Coturnix japonica: one gene and its partners. The protein of the gene in region 1 interacts with the protein of each later gene in a pairwise test. Links are inferred from orthologs where the notes say so. Each region holds a gene or a part of one and is shown on either strand. Other genes may lie near its edges. The genes, in order: EPM2A, PPP1R3D and PPP1R3C.

What was found.
Region 2: the proteins of EPM2A (region 1) and PPP1R3D interact in a two-hybrid assay, tested with the Homo sapiens proteins (2 studies listed by BioGRID, with this or other methods). The link is inferred for Coturnix japonica from reciprocal best matches to the Homo sapiens genes EPM2A and PPP1R3D.
Region 3: the proteins of EPM2A (region 1) and PPP1R3C interact in binary tests that used the Homo sapiens proteins (3 or more experiments, as listed by UniProt). The link is inferred for Coturnix japonica from reciprocal best matches to the Homo sapiens genes EPM2A and PPP1R3C.

The regions. Positions count from the first base shown.
Region 1 is NC_029518.1:41,847,382-41,853,558, forward strand, and holds the start of EPM2A (laforin), read right to left. Parts: upstream 3,709-6,177; 5' UTR 3,635-3,708; coding exon 3,373-3,634; intron 1,331-3,372; coding exon of another isoform or gene 1,193-1,330; intron 1-1,192. UniProt on the Homo sapiens protein: Plays an important role in preventing glycogen hyperphosphorylation and the formation of insoluble aggregates, via its activity as glycogen phosphatase, and by promoting the ubiquitination of proteins involved in glycogen metabolism via its interaction with the E3 ubiquitin ligase NHLRC1/malin.
Region 2 is NC_029535.1:6,069,848-6,076,263, reverse strand, and holds the start of PPP1R3D (protein phosphatase 1 regulatory subunit 3D), read left to right. Parts: upstream 1-2,967; 5' UTR 2,968-2,995; coding exon 2,996-3,907; 3' UTR 3,908-6,416. Other genes in the region: protein FAM217B, read right to left, coding at 72-157, 241-343, 1,025-1,119. UniProt on the Homo sapiens protein: Seems to act as a glycogen-targeting subunit for PP1. PP1 is essential for cell division, and participates in the regulation of glycogen metabolism, muscle contractility and protein synthesis.
Region 3 is NC_029521.1:17,280,541-17,286,949, forward strand, and holds the start of PPP1R3C (protein phosphatase 1 regulatory subunit 3C), read right to left. Parts: upstream 3,518-6,409; 5' UTR 3,354-3,517; coding exon 3,353-3,353; intron 2,935-3,352; coding exon 2,793-2,934; intron 2,777-2,792; exon of another isoform or gene 2,537-2,776; intron 1,916-2,536; coding exon 970-1,915; 3' UTR 1-969.

The DNA of each region.
Region 1 (6,177 bases):
ACATTTGAATTCTGTGTGTCACGTACTAATCCTTACTTGCATGCTCTGCTTCTTAATGCCTTTTCTGTTGTCACTATTCTGTCTCCCCCTTAGATGCAGAAAACAGTAGGCATAATTCTATTTCTTGTATTGCTGCAATACGTAATAATGCTCAAGAGAAAATTGTTAATTTGCCACACTAGCTCACTAACTCCTTGTTCACGCCTGGTTTGGTTTTCAGAAACGTTTCCTTGCACGCGCTAATCCCCTAAAAGTATCCAAAAAGCAGAAGACCATTTCATGGTGAGTTTATTTTCTATGAAACTAAAATAGTGATGATTCAATTTCTCATTCTGTGGACTAATATACATTACCAACAAAATAAGTTTGAAATCTTGTCAAAATCCAGATTTAATTCAAGATTTTTTTAGCCTATTATCCTACCCCTAAAAACATTCCTTTTATAGATTCTAATTACACTAACATTACAAATAAGCGGCCTACAAGAAAGCCCTCTTCAGCACTTAATGCTGTTTATCAACAAGAACTTTTTTTTTAATGAGAAAATAAAAACTTTCTAAGGCAACTTTCAGAAACATCTGTTGTATTTCTCTAAGACTGCTTAAGCACAGGTGTTTCACAGTGGGAGCTGCAGCTATACTAAGGACTTATAGCCAAATGTCCAATCTGATGATATAGACTAAGCCACAGAAACGCAGCTCGAAGGCAATTCAGATCATGAAATGAATGCTCTTTTCATATGGTGGAAATAAGAACAAATGCAAAGATAAAATAATGGATGGTAATAACAAAATACATAATGTAGAAGTCTTACCAACTGCTCTGAAACTCCATATGGTTTTGTACTGTATATTACTGTTTGCTACTTAATAACAAACCAGAAAAGATCACTAAATTAAAGTCAGGAAACAAACTATATCTAGACTGTAACTATGGCAAAATCTTAATCAAAAGATTATCCCAGTTACCTATTTTTCTACTGCTCAGTGCTTTTCAACACTGAAAATAAATTATTGACCCATACTAAATTCTGCTGTCCCTTAGAAGTGAGGAGAAGGAGTGGATAGCAATAAGTGAGGCATCTGCATAATCAATACATTTATTTCATCATTATAACCACAAATGTTTAATAGCCTTTCACAGCAATCAGAGTTGCCCTGCAGTTGTCACTGTGGGTAGGGATGACACATACCTGTCCAATTCATGTGTATGGATTTGGCAAATACCATTGCACATGCTTATTTTCACTCTTCTAATTTTGCAGTTTCTCGGGCAACTCTCCATTGCTTTATACATCTCCAGTCGACTGCTCAGCTTAAGTTGCTTAATGCTGACATACAGACAGAAAGGAAGAAAAACCTTGTTACTAATCATGTCATTATATGTGCTGAGGGAGCTGAAGAACAGAAGACCAGGAGCTACTGTACTTTGTAAACAAAAGCTTCTCTCCATTCATTATGCTGTATTCAGAAGCAGGTTTCAAACTTATTCAGTTTTGCTCATAGCAAAGTTCCCTCGCAGCTGAAAGGTTCTCGAGCACCCAGTACCACACAGGATGCAACAGGCTCACACAATTATTCAGCTATCAACATCCTACTGCACTTTTTGTTCCTTCCTAGACATTATCTTCTTTAGAACAGGACTAGAATGGAGGAAGGAAATAAAACCCCGTGTTATTTTCAAAAGCAGAACAGATGATGCTGGACTAAATACTGATGAGATTTGCGAGCAGTTGCAAGAGAAGCAGCCCCTGGCTGTACACAGCTATACACAGGTAAAATGGCGACACCCAGTGGGAGCAACGCTGCATAAAGCAGCTCCATTAAAAGGGCTGAAGAAACGTTAAACAAACTATTAACAAATCAACAAATTTCCCTTTCCACTTAATCTACGAAATTAGTAGCCAAAGCCAAAATAAAGAGAAGCTACACAGACACTGAGCCACAATCCCCTACAATGGACCATACCAAGGTCAACATCCACAGCCAGAGGCTGCTTCTAAATTGAACTGAAGACTCCCAAGGAACCACAGAGAACCATCTGCCCCCAAAGTAATGTTTGTTATGTGAACATGGATCAACATTTACTTTCCCCTCCTCAAAAGCTCAGGTACCAAGAGACCATATTGCATCATCTCAGAACAGTTTGGGGCATACCCTTAATATCTCCTTTGTTGTTCAGTGGAACATTTATCTTGCATAGTACCTACAGTTTATTTGGACCACAGACTGAAAGAGATGTATAAATCCAGTTCTAAAGAATCTACACCAAAAACAGATTACAGAAATACAGAAAGGATGTTGCTGAAAAGAAGATAGCATTGATATTCCCTTATTATTCTATTGGGTAAAATTCTTCTAGACTCTGAAGCTCAACATCATTAACTGGTTTTTGATAAATATCACACACTTAATCTTCCTGTATTTCAGGCCTTTCAGCTGAACTCACAGCAGGTAAGCAAAGTACCATTGCCAAAGAAACATTATTTGGACCACAGCACATGCAGGAATCACAATGTGAGCCCAAAGGGCCCGATGGCTTTAAGGCACAGGCCCCAGGTGAGCACCAGCATCAGTGTCATCACCTCGGGTCACTGCAAGCATCTGACCCTTTGGGGAAACAACAGCCTCCTCTCCCACCTCATCCTCCTACCGAGAGGAACCAGTTCCCCTCAAGACACAGGACACAAGCCACCAACCTGTCACTCCCTGTGACAGAATCATAGTATCATTTGAGTTGGAAGAGATCCTTAAAGGCCATCTGGACCAACTGCTCTGCAGTGAACAAGAACACTTACAGCTTGAGTAGGTTGCTCAGAGCCCGTCCAGCCTGACCTTGAGTGTTTCCAAGGTCTGAGCTCCCACCACCTCTGGGCAACCTGAGATTGGCTGCTTAAATACACACCCCGAAAAAGGATGAGGAGTAACTGCTCTATAACGTGCTATTCTCTACACGGATTACAAAACTGGATAAAAACGTGGTGAATTCTTTAATCATCCGTCTTCTATTCACCAAGTCTGATCCTTTCCTCAGTGAGGAGAGGTGAATTTCACAGAATTGTAGGGGTTGGAAGGGACCTCTAGAGATCATCGAGTCCAACCCCCCTGCCAAAGCAGGCTCCCTACACCACGTCGCACAGGTAGGCGTCCAGGCGGGTCTTGAATATCTCCAGAGAAGGAGACTCCACCACCTCCCTGGGCAGAATTTACAGCTTCATACTTCTGTATCTACAACAACAGCTCGTAGAAACTGACTAAAGTAACTGAGCTCTTAAGAACACAAGAGAGAAAAGCAGCCCCCGCAGCCCTGCCTGGCCCGGCCCGCCGCGTCAGCTGCCAGCCCCACCCCGCTCCGCCCGAGCCCCGCCTTTACCTTCCCATAGAAGCTGGCCGCCCTCCCGCCGCAGGAACTTGTACCAGAAGGGGCTGGCTGTGTCCTCGTCCGGCAGCAGCACCTCCCCCAGCCACAGAACCGGTTCCTGGGCCGCCAGCGCTGCGCTCGGCCGTGCTGGCTGCATGGGCACGGCGCGCTGCGGGTCCCACTCGCCCAGCTCCGGCCGCGAGCCGGCCACAAGCAGCGCACCGCCGCACTCTGCGATGCGGGCCGGCAGCACCACGCCGAAGCGGAACAGCATGGCGAGCTGTACCGGGCCGAAGGCGGCAGGGTATGGGGTGGGGGGAATGAAGCCGTGCCGCCGCCAGGGGCCGCCCCGCACCCTCACTTCCGGAGGGGGGACCGGGGCGGGCGGGGCGCTCCGGCTGGGGCTGTGCCTCGCTTTGGCTGCCCGCTGAGGGCATGGGATGGGCTGCTCGGCAGCACGGCCTCAAATGTCAGAGTTCAAGGAGTGTTTGGACATTGCTTTCGTAAGGTTTGATTTTGGGAGGTGCTGTGTGGAGCCAGGGTGATTCTTGTGGGTTCCTTCCAACTCGGGCTATTCAGTGCATCCGTGACTATTATCCCAGCAGATAACTAATGAACTGAGATTGCAAAGGGTTGCTCGTTACGTATATTGACTTTAGCGAGCATTACTGCTTTGTTCAATGAAGCTGCTGCAATTAGTCCAGAGAGACTTAATTTAGTGCTGCAAACACCTCATTAAATCACTGCTATACCTGCGGTGTTACAAACAGCCTCAAGGTTTGGTCCCAAATAACGTGCTTAGTGCTCAGGACAGTTATACCTCCTCTGTAGGCAGGGAGATGCCAGCCATGGTGAGACCAGGAATGTGAGGGACTGGTGGGGGCAGCAGGTGGTAGACAGCTCTTCAACAATTCTGCTGCTCTCAATTGCCTGCATTCTAGCTTGCCCTTCTGGCTGTAATTTGGCAGCTCCTACATGTAGCAATATTCAGGGCTTGCAAAGACTGAGGGAAAGGATGCGATCCAACCATTTATAGGACGGTCCTTGTCTGAATACACCCATTTCAGAAGCGTTTAAAGACAGAAACAGAGAAGTAGTAACTTTATTTAGGTCAAGTTCTGGGAACAGGATGAAGGCCTTTCAGTGAGTCAAAAGAAATCCTGCTTCAAAAGGTGGCTGCTTGTTTCCTGTGTTCGATGGCGATGACACACTGAAGAATATGTACTGCCAAATGTATTTTTAAGAATGCTTGAGCTCATTTTCACTGATCCCAATTCAACTTTTGTAAGTGATATGCCACCTCTGTTCCAAACATAACCAAAGTGAAGGGGATTCTGGCAGCCCTCCCCCTAGCCCTGTTGCTTTTGTGGAACAAAGCAACACATTTTAATCCTTGTTTTTGCTCGACCTTACAGTCAAGTTACCTGCAACCTGTCTCATAATTATCCATCAAATATCTACCCTTGTAGCATACACTTTCATTTTAGTATTAAGGGCAGTACAGAGAGCGATGGTAAACTTAGATTTTCTACCTCAAGCGTGGCAGTAGTCCTAAAAGCATCTTGTGTCTACATAAAACCCCAAAGAAGTGGTGGAGTCACCATCCCTGGAGGTGTTCAAGATAAGGGTGGATGTAGCAGTGAAGGATGTGGGTTAATGGGATAGCGGTAGCAGTTGATGGCTGGACTGAATGACTTAGAGGTCTTCTCCCACCATAATAATTCTGAGATATGCAACTGTTCATTCCAGGCACCGTTCGAGCTAAGAAGCTGCAGGATCCAGTAGCGCATCTGATAATTTAACTCCTGGCTGTTGTCTAAACCTTAATGTAAAAAGACCTGCAACACATATGTACCTTTAAAAAAAAGCTTCTTTATGTGTCAAACCCTCATTATAGACCTGCAATAAAAACTATATTTTCAGTCTTGTGCAAAATATTAGCGGTTAAATTAATTGTCCATTTCTTCTCCATATTTCACCATGATCCGTTTTGTACACACCAGCATTGGGTGCTGGATTAAGGTTAAAAATAGCACGGAGTGACATGCTCGAGTTCCTGCAGTTTTTATTGTTGAATAGTTTTTATTGATGAATACTACCAAACTGTGAAGTGTAGACAGGATGATATGGGTCTTCATTAGATCTAAGACCACGCAAACAAGACTATGTAAGTACCATAAGGTTTGGCTCCAAGCTCAGAAGTAAATGGTTCGCTGCGAGCTTTACGTAGTCTATGGATTTCTCATCTCTAAACTGGTGTTTTATATAAGAACCAAAGGATGAAGGGGCAATAGGGAGCTTACACGTGCTGCTGTGTAGTTGAATATTGCAGGAATTGAAGAAATACTTTCACTTCTGGGCCATTGCTTTAAGCCTAAATTCCTAAGGAATTAATGATAAACCAATTTCCTTTGAAAAAAGCCTTATCCTCATACCGCATGACCAGCACTCTGTCCCTGCACTCCTCAACACTGTTCTTAAACCTAAAAGCCTTTTCTGTAAGCCAGTCATCTTTAACAGCCACAAATGTAAACAGGACGATTTCCTGGTTTTGCTATATTAAGTCCCATTCCAATAAGCATGCCTTTCAGGTCCAATCAAAAAGCTCTGGCATAAAGATGCCCAAACCCTACTAATTAAATTGCTTTTAGCTGTCCCAGAAGCTGTTGTTTTCATTCATATGGGAATAAACTACCATCTGAGCGCACCATGGCCCATCTGATTCTGGTAATTGATATTGTGCCTTTGTGTCCTTGATGGCACTATAGGCTGTAGCATTAGACTCAGAGCTGCAGCTCTGTGTGCCTCAGTCTTCCT
Region 2 (6,416 bases), on another chromosome or scaffold:
TTCATTGCAAGCATTTAAATGCCAACTTGAACCGTGTTCAAATTAAACAGACAATCTTAACATAGAATTACTGTTTTGACTGAGTACTGTCATCTGGTTGGTTTCTTCCTTTCCTAATAACACTGGGTTGGTTGTCATCTTGAGTGTCACAGGAAGCCTGAAAAGAAAGAATATGATGTTATTACAAAAGCTGACATAAACTTTGTACCCCTCTTCTATGAAAGAACTGCCATGATTTACCTTTTCATTGGTACTTGGGACATTTTTGCATAATCTTCCAGGTGATTTCACATGAGAAACTGATTTCTTTTCTCCTTTGGTGCTTGGGTGGCTTTTTCCAATACTGTAATGATCAAGGATTAAACACAGTGTCACACATTAATAGAAATGTTTGTGATCATCAGAATAGAAATGCAATAAAAGTTTCAAGAAGAAAGAGTTGGTTGCAAATAGTCTTAACATTTGTAGTAACTATGCTTTTGCTTTTTATACAGCTACTATGATACTACATTTTTAATACCACTACTGCAAAATACATAAATAAATTAGACAATATATTAAGAGAGCTTAGCCTTCATATAGAAACTTCCATCAGAGGATCCCAAAGATCCTTTTGGATATAATAAATAGTAAATATTAATTATTAATTGAGCTAGCATGGAATACTCTTGGTCCCAGTGCACTTTAACAAAAGTAATTATACAGTACAATAGGAATGCCACAACAAATCTTGCTTGCCTTTTTCATTTGCATAGTCTCAATAAAATTTAAACCATTATTCTTTAGTATTTAAAAATATGCATTTTTTAATCAAATCAAGAATTTAGAAGAGAGTGAAGTTTTCTGCCTCAAGCAGTACCGCAGTCACCTCTGTCACTTTGTGACCTGCACAGTCAGAGCACACACTCATTTGTGTTGCTGCAGATTGGAGAGGAGGATGAGAATTTGAACTGTGCTGTCATGCACTTATCACCTCTTCTACAGTACTTTCTATAACTAGAAGGAAAGAAAATAATGTCCTTACTTTACCATTCCTTTGTGGTTTTCATTGATTTGGCTTTCCTTTTTCTGTGCCTTTTGGTGCAGTAATAAAGGATGTTCTTGAATGCCTGGTCCCATTATTACACTTTTAAAGCGGTATCTACATCTTTATCTTTACATAATCCTCCAATGGCTCCATTCTTTCTGATCCACACAGCACAGCGTGCCAAACTCAAACATCACCACATCCTGAACATTCAGTGAACAAAAACCACGCAACATGATTATTAAAGCAGAACAACAAACATGAATTAGCTACCAGATGGCACCGGGATGCGCCGTCCCATCCCTTAGCAGTCACATATTCATCTCACTAAGGCCGCACACAGCGCTCAGCACCAGGTTGGCCAGGAGTGCTGCACAGCGCAGTGCTCACCACCAGCTGTAGGGATGCAGCACTGCAGCGACATGAGCTGGGCCAGCACTGCTCAGCACACCCAGCACCCACCGTGTTGCTAAAGATACAGAAAAATATATGATGTGCAGCAGCAATAGGGGAGCTGCTTTTCACTGCGCACTGAGCCCTGCATGTTGCTCTGCCTGCAGTGCATTGAGCGGAGCCAAGGGGTGTTTCTGCATTCACATATGTACACGTATCAGATGCTTTGCTGTTCTCCCAAACCAAACCTCTCGCTGCTCATCCATCCCCACTAAAAACAGCCTCAGCAGAGCATGCAGCATTCCTTCATCTTCCAGAAACCTCACTCCCCTCCCGGGGCTGCACAATACAGTTCCCAGGAGGTGACAGATGTTCCGCACCTCTCTACACCCACCCTCAGTTTTGTTGCAGTTCTATAGATAGATTTAATCTTTAGATGCGTTCCTATTATTCACGTTTATTTTGACACAGTCCTGTTTCTCACTGCTGCTCTCCCCAGCACAAAGCCCAGCAGGACACACTGCCTGTTTCCCCATCGATTCGGACCTTGGGGGTCCAGAGCCGCACGGTCCCACCAACCCCTCAGCACCACCGCCCCCATCCCGCCCGTACCTGCCTTCCTGCCAGCAGCCACCGGCATTAAGGGCACCCCAAGGCAAGAGACGTCAGGCGGCGGCTGCGCATGAGCCTGGGGCGGAGCGTATTGGCCGTTCATTTTGATGGGCAGGGGGGCGCGGTGTGGGCGGGGATGGTCGAAGTTCCGGGCAGGCGCTGTTAAGCGGGTTGGGCGTGAGGGGTCTGTGTACGGCCGGGCTGGTGCTCGTGCAGCTGGGCACTGATGTGGGCTGTGCAGACCCCGGCTGCCGATCCCTCCCCTTCCAGTCACGGTACCGAGTCCGCTACCCCGGCCCCGCCCGACAGCCTCCTCACTCCCTCCAGCCTGTGCAGCAGCCTCAGCTCCGGCTCGCTCCCACCCGACAGCCTCCAAGCCTTCCCCGGCCTCTGCAGCGGCCGCGAGTCGCCCAGCATCCAGTGCGACAGCCTCGAGTGTCCCGGGTGCCGCTGCAGGAGCCTGGGCTCGGTCAGCCCCTGCGAGGACAGCCTGCAGGTCCGGCTCGCGGCGTGTAATGGTCCGGGCTGCTTCGGGGTGCACCGCTGCAGCCCTCACGCACCCCGCGATATCAGTGACAGCCTGGAGTCCTTCGGCAGCCAACACGACAGCCTCCAGTCCGTCCCCAGCCTGTGCGACAGTCTGCGGTCCTCCAGCATTGCGGGTGACAGTCTTGAATCTCTTTCCAGCCTGAGCAACGGGTCCACCAGCCTGGAGTTCACCAGCCAGTGAGTCTGTATTCAGCTTCCCCACGCAACACTCCAGGCTCTGCTTTGCTCTCAGCTGCTGTGAGAGCTGCCTGTTTTCTGCCTTTCTTTGCAGAAGGCCAAGTTGTTCCAGCTTACTCTTCTCGAGCCAGGGCAGTATCCTCAAATCCTCACTGTGTGTGGCTTTTTCCCAAGTTCCTTTAAAGAGGCAGCGCTTGGCACCAGCAGTGTTACCATCAGCACTGCCATCAGTGAAGAATGGAGGTGCACGGTCCTCGGAGGAATCGCAGCTACCTGTCTGATCTCTATGAGAACATGCTGCGGGCACAAGGGGCACCAGGACAAGGACAGCAGCAGCCCTCGGTGGTACGTCCAAGCAGCAGCCCACATCTTGTGAGCCATACCCCAGTCAAGGCGGCGACCCAGCCACATCAGCCTCAGAGCAGCACTTCCAGCAGCTGTGATCCAGCACTGCGGCCTATCATCCGCCGCCGAGCAAGGTCTTTGCCTACGACACCTGAAAGAAAGAAGCGAGTGCAGTGTCAAGCTCCTGTGTGCCAGAGCCGCATGAACAAGGTGAGATTTGCTGATGCTCTGGGCTTGGAGCTGACTGAAGTGAAAGTCTTCCAGAAAGGGGAGGATCCTTCCATCCCCCTACACGTCCTTTCCAGGCTCTCCATAAACTCAGACCTCTGGTACAGCAACTTGGAGTTTACTATGCAGTGCTTAGTCCCTGATTTCCAGCAGCCTGCAGACAGCGTGGATTTCTCTGCTCGACTTCAGGAGCAGCAGGTGTGTCTTGAACGAGTGACCAGTTCAGATCTGGGGGTCAGTGGCACCATCCAAGTTTGCAATCTTGCTTTTGAGAAACAAGTGTCTGTGCGATATACCTTCAACCAGTGGAAAAGCCTCCATGAAGTGTGTGCTCATTGGCACAGTAGTATCCCTGAGAAAAACGGGCAGGATCAAGTTGATGTTTTCACTTTTTTTCTCCCTGTGCCTTCTTTCCTCCTTCAGCTGTGCTCTGTAGTCCAGTTTGCAGCAAGGTATCAAGTCAATGGGCAGGAGTATTGGGATAACAACAAAGGCAAAAACTACAGCCTCAGTTGCCGGACTCACCCCCTCAAGATGCCTAGAGAATGCGAGGAGAGCTGGATTCACTTCATCTGAATGAAGGAAAGTGGATGCAGAACAGCTTTGCAGTAGTCTCAGCGGCCCTCTCTTCATGGCATGGCTCTGTGCTCCTTATTGAAGCCTACCAAACCTGGCAGTGTTTCACGACAGGCAGGTAGCCAGCAACCCGGATGGACTGTTCTAAACCTCTCAAAGCATAAAGGGCCAAAATGTGTAGAGCTACATCTGTTGAAAGCCTGGGTGGTTTCTTGCAGTGTATGAATCAAGGCAGAATGGTTTAAAGGGATCCTTTCAGGCTATTTAGCAGAGATCAAGAGAAGACACTTTATGTTGCTAGCAATATTCTAGATTGCATAGATTATTTCTAACAGATCTATTTTACTATTTTGTACTGCCTGTTTTTTAAAATGGGCAGTGTAGCTTTACTGTTTTCATTTCTAATTTTGTTTGTATAATCACACCTAGTCTGGGCACTGCTCCAGTTACACACCATTTGCATGGCAGACACTGTAGGGAAGCACTTGCATATATAATTTTTTAAAGACTGTTACTGCGTTAAGTATTTCCATTAGCTTTGGAGTTGGAAAGTAAAGAAATGTTATTATGAGCAAAACCTGCATGAAAATTTCCCACCAGCCCCTGTTTCCCTTTTTATTATTGTTATTATTAATTTCAAGTGCCTTATCTCCACTGTTTGCTGTAGGCAGGGGGAGTGATTGTTACCAGGGTGTAGAAAGGTACTCTGGTGCTTTGCAGGGAAGCTCTCATCTTGTTCACCTGATTTACCATTAGGCTTTTCCTCCAGGTGGTGGTGCAGGAGTTGTCCTTCTGCGGCTGCATTTACTAAGGAAAACTAAAGAAATTTTGCACTTGAATTACACTTATGCTCTTACACTCATACTTGAAATAGGTAAACTTGTAAATCAAGCAGATGTGAGAAAGGAAAGACAATACACTGAGCTTGTTACAGATCCTCGCAGTAGGATTCTAGAACTCTGAATCCTGGCTCCCTGTTTCCCAACATCTCACTGCCATTGCAGAAGTAATTTTTGAATGCTCTTATCAGCTGCTTTTGATTATAAACCAGCTGATCTCTAAGGCCGTGTCCTTCGCAGCATGAAACAGGAACTTCAAAGCAAAACAATGTCTTTAATGGTAAATTAGTATTAAATGGGTCCTCAGATTATCTTCTACAGCAGCGAAAGCATAGCAGCACATGTACTGCACACCTAATGCTTACTGCTCTGCGACTTTTGTTCTGGGGAATTAGTGTGGTTTGAGATTGGCCACAGGCTTGTGACAGGCTTCAATTTAGTAAGTAAAAGATTGGCCATTTGTTTGTTTTTTTCCTACATACTCAACACTTGCATGCAAAATTTATGGCATAAATTTTCCAGGCTGTCTGGGTGGAATTGTTTGAGCTGCTTTTTGGAAGAACTGTATGATGAAAATCAGGCCTTGTATTCAGACATCTAATTTGAGATTGCTGCTTATTCATCAAAATCACGTGATTTTTACAAACCACAGTTGTAATTAATTCATGGTTGATTATGTGCAAATGCAAAAAGTCCAACAAGTAATTCAGGAAGGAGAAAATTCAAATGTTTGGCAACTTAATATTACTAGTTGGGCTAAATATCAAAGCCAGGATTTGAAGTGAACAGGCTTCCCAGTTCTTTAGCCTTTGGCTTCAAAGGGACAACTGATGAATAACGGCTGTTTGAGCTGCTTAGCACCTCTTTCAAAGTACAGTGAAAACTCAGTTGTATTGGAAAACAACAAATTGTTTATTTTCATTCTATAATTTGGCCGTTTCTGTTAGTGACTGCTGCTTAAGTGCAATTCTGATTTCTTTCCTAAGTAAATGAAACGTCCGCAGATGATGGATTTCCTTTATATAGCTTACATAGCTGTCCAGTGTAGCAGCAGATATGCAAGGTGTACTTTGAATGGCTTGTTTTCAGCAGGATAATTATAAGTTGTTGAATTCAGCTGGGGCTCACAGGGTTTTCCTCTGAAAGCCAACTTCTAAGTATTACTTACTCTTCCTATAAGCCTCCCTACCTTTGGTAATTAATTTTGGTTTTTAACTTGTCTGTATACTGATGGATTACCAGTGGTTATCTGTGGGTAGGGAACAGTAAAAATAATCATTTCTTTATTTGCTTTTTGCATAAAAGAACTTTCATTTTCTACTTAACAGAAAGTGAATGCCAGTGGTGTTTTAATTTCGTTTTGGAGCTCAGTGAGGTCAAAAATTCAAGCTGTAATTGTTTTGAACATAACACAACTGCTCCATTGGGATATTTCATATCTGTTAAGCCTTCATAGCCATTAAGACAGGCAGAACACTTCTGGGATTGGGGTGAGGCTGGAGAGTAATTTATAGCTTTCAGTCCACCTGCATTATTTTCTGTACCTGAGTTAAAGGGGGAACTGTTGAACAATTGAGCAGCAGCTCTTTTGTCATAAGGGAAGGGGAACTGAAACTGCTCTTCCTCATAGGCCAAAAAAAGACAAACAGAAGAGATGGAGCAGTGAAGAA
Region 3 (6,409 bases), on another chromosome or scaffold:
CAGGCAATGAGTGAAATCACCTAATGCTGCCACAGACCAAGACATTTACAGACCACTCAGTGTAGTCTATACACTAACCTTGGCTTCAGCCTTTACTTTTGGCATGTACAGTGACTTTGTTTTTTTAAAGGCACATTTTTCTTTTAACATTAGAAGGTAACCATCAGCCTGACAAGCGAGTAGAATGATGAAGGCAGAATTCGAGGTTAGATTTGATCTTAATGCAAGATATCCATTTTTCCCGAGGCCAGTGAGGTCAGAGATGCCTTCCCAAAGTCACTTCCACCACTCGCTTTGCATTATTTTCTGTATTCTTTTTAATTTCATAAACTTTTCCTTTATTTAGAAAGCCAGCTTTGAAGACAACATCAACACACTGTCTATCTCCAAGTTAGGCAGCACATCTTACCTCTTCCCCTTCTCCTACTTTTCCATTATCCTCTCCAAATTTCCTAACCTTTATTGAAACCACAAATCTTAGCCATGCAGTCTTACCTGCTACTGCTAAAGCACATAGGTCACTGCAAGCTTTAGTCCTGAGAGCACTGCCTCAGCTCTGCTGCGCTAACAGGCACAAAATGGACTTTGATGTTCTGCTCCTGTGACAGTTCTGTGCACACACACTCACACACAGTTGCTACAGCTTGCTAAAACACTGTCACCTTCCACAGTCTCCTGCCTAATGACTCAGGAGAGACAACAGCAGAAAGCACACAGCATATACTTAAGATACAGGCATGCTATTTCTAGTAGGTGGTATACACACGGGTTTTATCTCGTTTGTCTTTCTTTCCAAGGATAAGTTTTGGCTAAGAACTTCAAGAACATAATATGGCTTAACGAGACTGCTGAGTTTGGAGTTGTAAAGGCAGCCACACCTGCCGGGTGGTTTTGTTATATAGTTCTGTGAACCAGAAAGCTAACACTGGTTTGCTGCCAAGTGGAATAATATTTCCAAGCTAGTGTCTATCACCAATATGGTGATGAATTTTCAATCCCACCTGAGCTCTGCCACTGGGGGAAGAGGCCACTGGACAGCCTTGGGCTGCCGAGCTGATCGGGCTCTCTCTCTTGCCCTTTCCTTGGAGCTGGAACATCAAAACAGTCCTTTGTGGCAGATGGTATCCGAACACCATCAGATTTCCACTCTGCATGGAGAATCTTGTAGTTCTGCCCCTCATTATTGTCCCAGAAGGTACGCTCGCCACTTTGGTAGGAAATGCAGAACTCAATTTTCTCTTGAGAAGGAATGGCAGGAGGCAAGTCAATAGTAAATGAGAAGGTATCATTTTCAGAATCACCATAAACATTGTTCATGTACACACACTCAATGTCCGTGTAAGTCTTCCACGTATCAAAGGTGATTCGAACCTGAACCTTCTTCTCAAAGCTCACATTTTTTACTTTCACAGTGCCTGACAACACCTTCTCTTGTAGGCTGCAGTTCTCCAGGCAGACCAAGTTCCTCTGCAGGCGGTTCCTGAAGTCCAGGTAGTCAGCTGAGGGACGAGGGAAATCCAGAATCAAGTTTTTCTCCTCGTGAAGCTTCAGGTTAGACGTTATGTTTTCGAGACTTATAAGATCAAACTGGAGATCCCAGCCAGGGTGCTCCTGGAACTCTGAGAAGGTGTGTATTGCCGTCAGGGAGAGCCCCTTTGAGTCTGCAAACACAACTCGCTTCTTGGCTCGGGCTGCTGAGTGGTTCCAGTCACTCTTCTGTGCTTCAGAATCACGTTTCACATGGAGACAGGGTCTGAGAGGTTTGAATTTGTTCACAAAGTTATTTCTCTGGCAGCCCTCAAGGGGGCTGAGGAAGCTCTTCAGTGGAGGTGAATGAGCTAAGCAGATTCTCATGGCCACATCCACAGGCATGATGGAATTTGGCAAGGGTCTCGGATCTAAGATCTGAATCATTCTGAAAGGAGCAGAAAGACAGCATATTATTATTTGATACATTGGGGAAAAGCTTGTTAAGAATGCATATGTGCTTCATCTGCTGTCTTAATTATTCACAACCTGGTCTTTGCACAGCTTTAAATAATGCAGCCTAAATTAATATTGACAGTTCAAGAGAGGAAAAAGAATGAACATACTGTCATTTCTTTACAATTCTGCAGTCTTTCAATACGAATGTAATTTGCTTTTTCCAAACCTCTGAAACATGGATTTTAGAAACAGCTAATAAAGCACATCCTAATGTACCAGTACAAACAGATCCACCTGCAGTGAAAGTGCTCATCCACTTCAATTTCTTTCAGTGACTGTGAGCCTAGTCTTAAAAATCTAACAGGGTGGATCAGCTGCTGCACCCGAGCAGACAGCACTAGAGTAATCAAGTTACCTGTCCCAGCTTGGCTTTGGTTAAATCAGTTTTGAGCTATTAACCCAGGTCTAGTTAAAAAAGCTGGTTTGCATTGTGAGCATTGCTGAGTAAGTGGGGGAAAGAATAAAGGAGCTGAAGGAGAATTGTCTTCATCTTGTGTTTTGAGTAACGTATTAAAAACATTCCATTCCTTATATTCCCCAAAGTCCATACCTAATGCAAGCATTTCATAAGAATGCTACAGCTTTCTTTGTTTAGATTTGTTCCTAAACCTGACTCTCAGACGATGAAAACCACGATTATTTTACAAAATGCTCTCAGAAATATGACTGGGGTTTTGGATGGTCCTACAAGGAGCCCACAGTTGGACTCTGTGGTCCTTGCAGTTCACTTCCAACTTGATGTACTCTGTAATTCTATGACTCTGAAACCACGGTCGGTTAGCAGTATTTGCAGAAGGGGCTCCTACTGCAGTGCATCTCTTCTGGTAAAGATCCAATCCTTGCTGGAAATATGGAGTTCTGTTGAGTCATGGGAAGAAAGAGCACTTGCTTTGTCACTTAAATAAATGGCATTCTTCTTCCCAGTGTTCTCACTGGTATTCCAGAGCACTGCCAAAAAAAGCAGAATCTGCACTGACCTCTTCGTTCTTCTTGCTTTTTTTCCCCCCCTTTCTTAAGCTATGGCAGCATTTACCATAATAGGTAGTGGAGTACTGGCATCAAATTTATCAAGTTTTGTTTGGCTTTTAGCAGCATCAGTATTGTATTCTCTCTAGTTTCCATGACGAGCTCCATAGGCTGCTGCTCATAACGTTATACAACATTAAAAACAAAACAAAAATAAAGGGCTACGCTGCTAGGAGAGGCAAAAATCTGCCAGCAAAAGATGATAGAGTTGAGCAGCATTCACAAGGCACTATGCAAGCGCTAAACGCTTCTACAAGCCTGATAAAAATCAAAGTAGCGCAGTGCAAAAGTACATTCCCCCAAAGGATGAAGATTTTATTCCCCCCTCCCCTTTACTTACTTCCTTCTGCGGGGCTGGAAGCGCACGCTAGAACCGAACCGACCCGAGGGAGAGCAGCCGCAGCGCGGGCAGCGGAGCCAGCAGCGCTCACCTGCGGCCGATGGCGAGCAGTGCGGGGCGGTTACTCCGCAGCCCCCTCGCTCCGCTCCCTTTATGCTCCGGGCTCGGTCCTGCCCCGGGGCGCGGCGCGGCGGGGCTGTGCGTGCCGGGGGGCCGCGTGGGGGGGGGGGAGGCCGCTGTTTCTCCACGTGGTCACGGCTGTGGGGCGGGCGGTGCCGAGTGCCGCCCCCTGGGGCTTCGGTGGTTGTTATTGTTCGGTCGGTGCGATGCTCGGCGCGTGGTGCTGCCGTGCCGTTGCTTCCTGCTGCATCCAGGGCTCTCCTCTCCCCATGCCCACCCCTCCCCCCCCCGCACATCCCGCAGAGTCGTTTCCAAAACTGCTGTGCTTTAAATAACTTGGATATTCTTGCCCCTGAGAGCCCGAGCTTTGCTGTGTTGGCTGTACGCGGTCGACAGTGCCGGCTGCTTGTCTCACAGCGGTCTTTGCAATGGGGAGCTCTCCTTTGTCCCGATCAGCCTGTCTGCACCTCTTGCATCCCTTATGGGGGTGACGTGGCCTCGGTACGGCTCGGGGGTGGCTGGAGCTTCAGATGGGGCTCAGAGGTAGTGGGCCTTTGCCAGAGCTAGAAAAGCAAATGGGTTTGCTCTACAAGACTTCCAAGAGAACACTTTAACGTGTCAATGTGGGGCTTCTTCCTGCTGCTGCTTTAGCAGGACACTACCTAACAGAACAAGAGTAACACCAGCTTGAAACTGCAGACTCAGATTTGACTAAAAAGAGCTGGATACTTGTGTTGCCAGGGCCTGAAGTCTGTCATCCTGGGCTATACTTGGCCTTGACTGAACTGACAAAACTGGAGGTTTCTTTTGCATGGTACTATTGGCTGTTCAGCTCCACACACAGCAGTGTGAGGGTACTGGAGGTCCTGCTGTACTTCCCACGTTGTAGCTGTTAGCTATTTCTAGAGCAAAGGGGCAGAAAGCAGTAGCACGCGGTCTCTGCAGTGTGACGACAGTCACACCATCACTGCCTGCCCCCACAACTGTGTGAGCCTGGTGTGGCTGCATGGTTTCACTGTCACCTTCCTGCCCACTCTCTCCCAAGTGCAGCCCTGCACTCATGATACTGAGTATGTGAGCTATTCTGAGCTTTTATCAGTAGATGAGTTCTGTGCACAATGCATGACAGGAAGCACTATGCTCTACATGGAACAAAAGGGACTTATGGTGAAGAAGAATAGAAGATAATAGGATTTCTCTGGCTCATCCAAATTGTTTTTCTTTACATGGTTTGTGAATGAAAGGCTCTATTGCTGTGCATGAGAGGTTGTTAGGAGACAGCACTTAAGCACAGGCCAAGGCATGGCAGGCGAAAAGATGCCTTCCTCTTGGATTAAGGCTGTGTAGTAGCAGAGAAACAAACAGCCCTGAAAGTGCTGGAGGGAGAAGTCTCCTCTAGTGACTGAAGTGTGGCACACAGACCCATACACTGCCTCTGTGTGTATAATGAAGGCATTCATAGGGCAGAAAGGCTTCAATTTCTTAGCAAGACTCTTGGTGACTGAAGTTCCTGCCCTTTCTGCCAGTAGGTGACATTAAACATCACCTAGATGGAGCCTGAAGCACTACCTGGCAGCAAAGGCAAGGACTGGAAAGGTTCTGGCCTGTTCCCTGGTGCTATCAATTCAGGATGACCTTCCCTAATCCTCTGCTCCACATATCACATCTCTCCATTTCCTTATCTTTTTATGACTGCTGGCTCCCTCTCAGTGACAGATGATATTTCCTCATTGTTTGCTTAGGGAATGTACCAAAAAACTGTTCTTCAAGCCCTGCTAGTTGCAGAGTGTGTTTGTGTTGTTGTTTTTTTTTTCTTTTGAGCTACAGATGCTTTTTCCAGGGGTTGAAATTGAGACCCAAGACCCCCAAGGGTCATAAATGAGTGCACGGTTGGCACTTACTAAATATTCTGCATTTTAAAGCATGAGTGAGCAACTCAGGAGAGGTGTTGTGAGCCTGTGCTACTGAAGTTGTGGTCCCATAGAACCACGGGGCCAAGTGGGACCATGTCCACCTGCACCACCCACAGCTGGGCTGTGCTTTCCATGTGCAGGCCACAGATAGGACCTGGGCAGCTGTTTTATTCCAGGCTGATTCACACTTGAAGCCTGCACACGAGCAGTTGTACCAAGTACCCCTTGCTGCACATTTCTACTGCTTGCTGTACTTTTGCCATTTTAAAATGTTTTGTTCCTATTTGGTTTAAATACTCATTTTTTCCTGCCTTATAAAACATTATCAAAGATTATTTAAGGTGATATGCTTAGAAAAAAACAAAGAAGAAAAAACAAACAAACAAACAGAAGAAAAAAAACAGCCAACCCAACAGTAGTGAGATGCAGAACTTTTCATGGACATGCTGTTGCCCAAGTTAGTAAATATGGACTGCACACAGCAGCTCAGTGGCTACTCGGTGACCCTAAGCCCCGTTCATGGCCACAAAGTACTGCCCCAGTTTCTGGTTGTAAGCAGAGAAGGCTGTGCAGAGCCAGAGCTGCTCTTTCCTCACCTGAAGAGATGTCCCTGCTCTAGGCACACAGCTGGGGTTGCCTGAGGTAGTAGAACAGTTTGCACTGCCAGTGATGTTCTTCTGTCTGCACAGAGGACTCAGGTTTCTGGTTATTTTGGTTCAGCGGCTCTCCTGTCATCAGAAGCTTAAAAATGTAGATTTGTCTGCCCATCTCCCCTATCATACAGGGCTGCTAAAATAGGAGCTACTCCAGAGGAAAAAAAAAATCATTGTCTCACTGTGTTGGACGGCACTTGGTGTCATAGCCACTTTCCTGACACTTGTAGGAACACACAGAAGAATAGAGAGAAAAGCACTGCTGGGAGAGGCAAGGGGGTCATGTAAGAGGCAGCTGTACCTCACTGACTCTGTTGCAAGTAAACCAAAACTGACCTCTTGTGCTGCTTCTGTCCCTTTTTCTGAAAAAC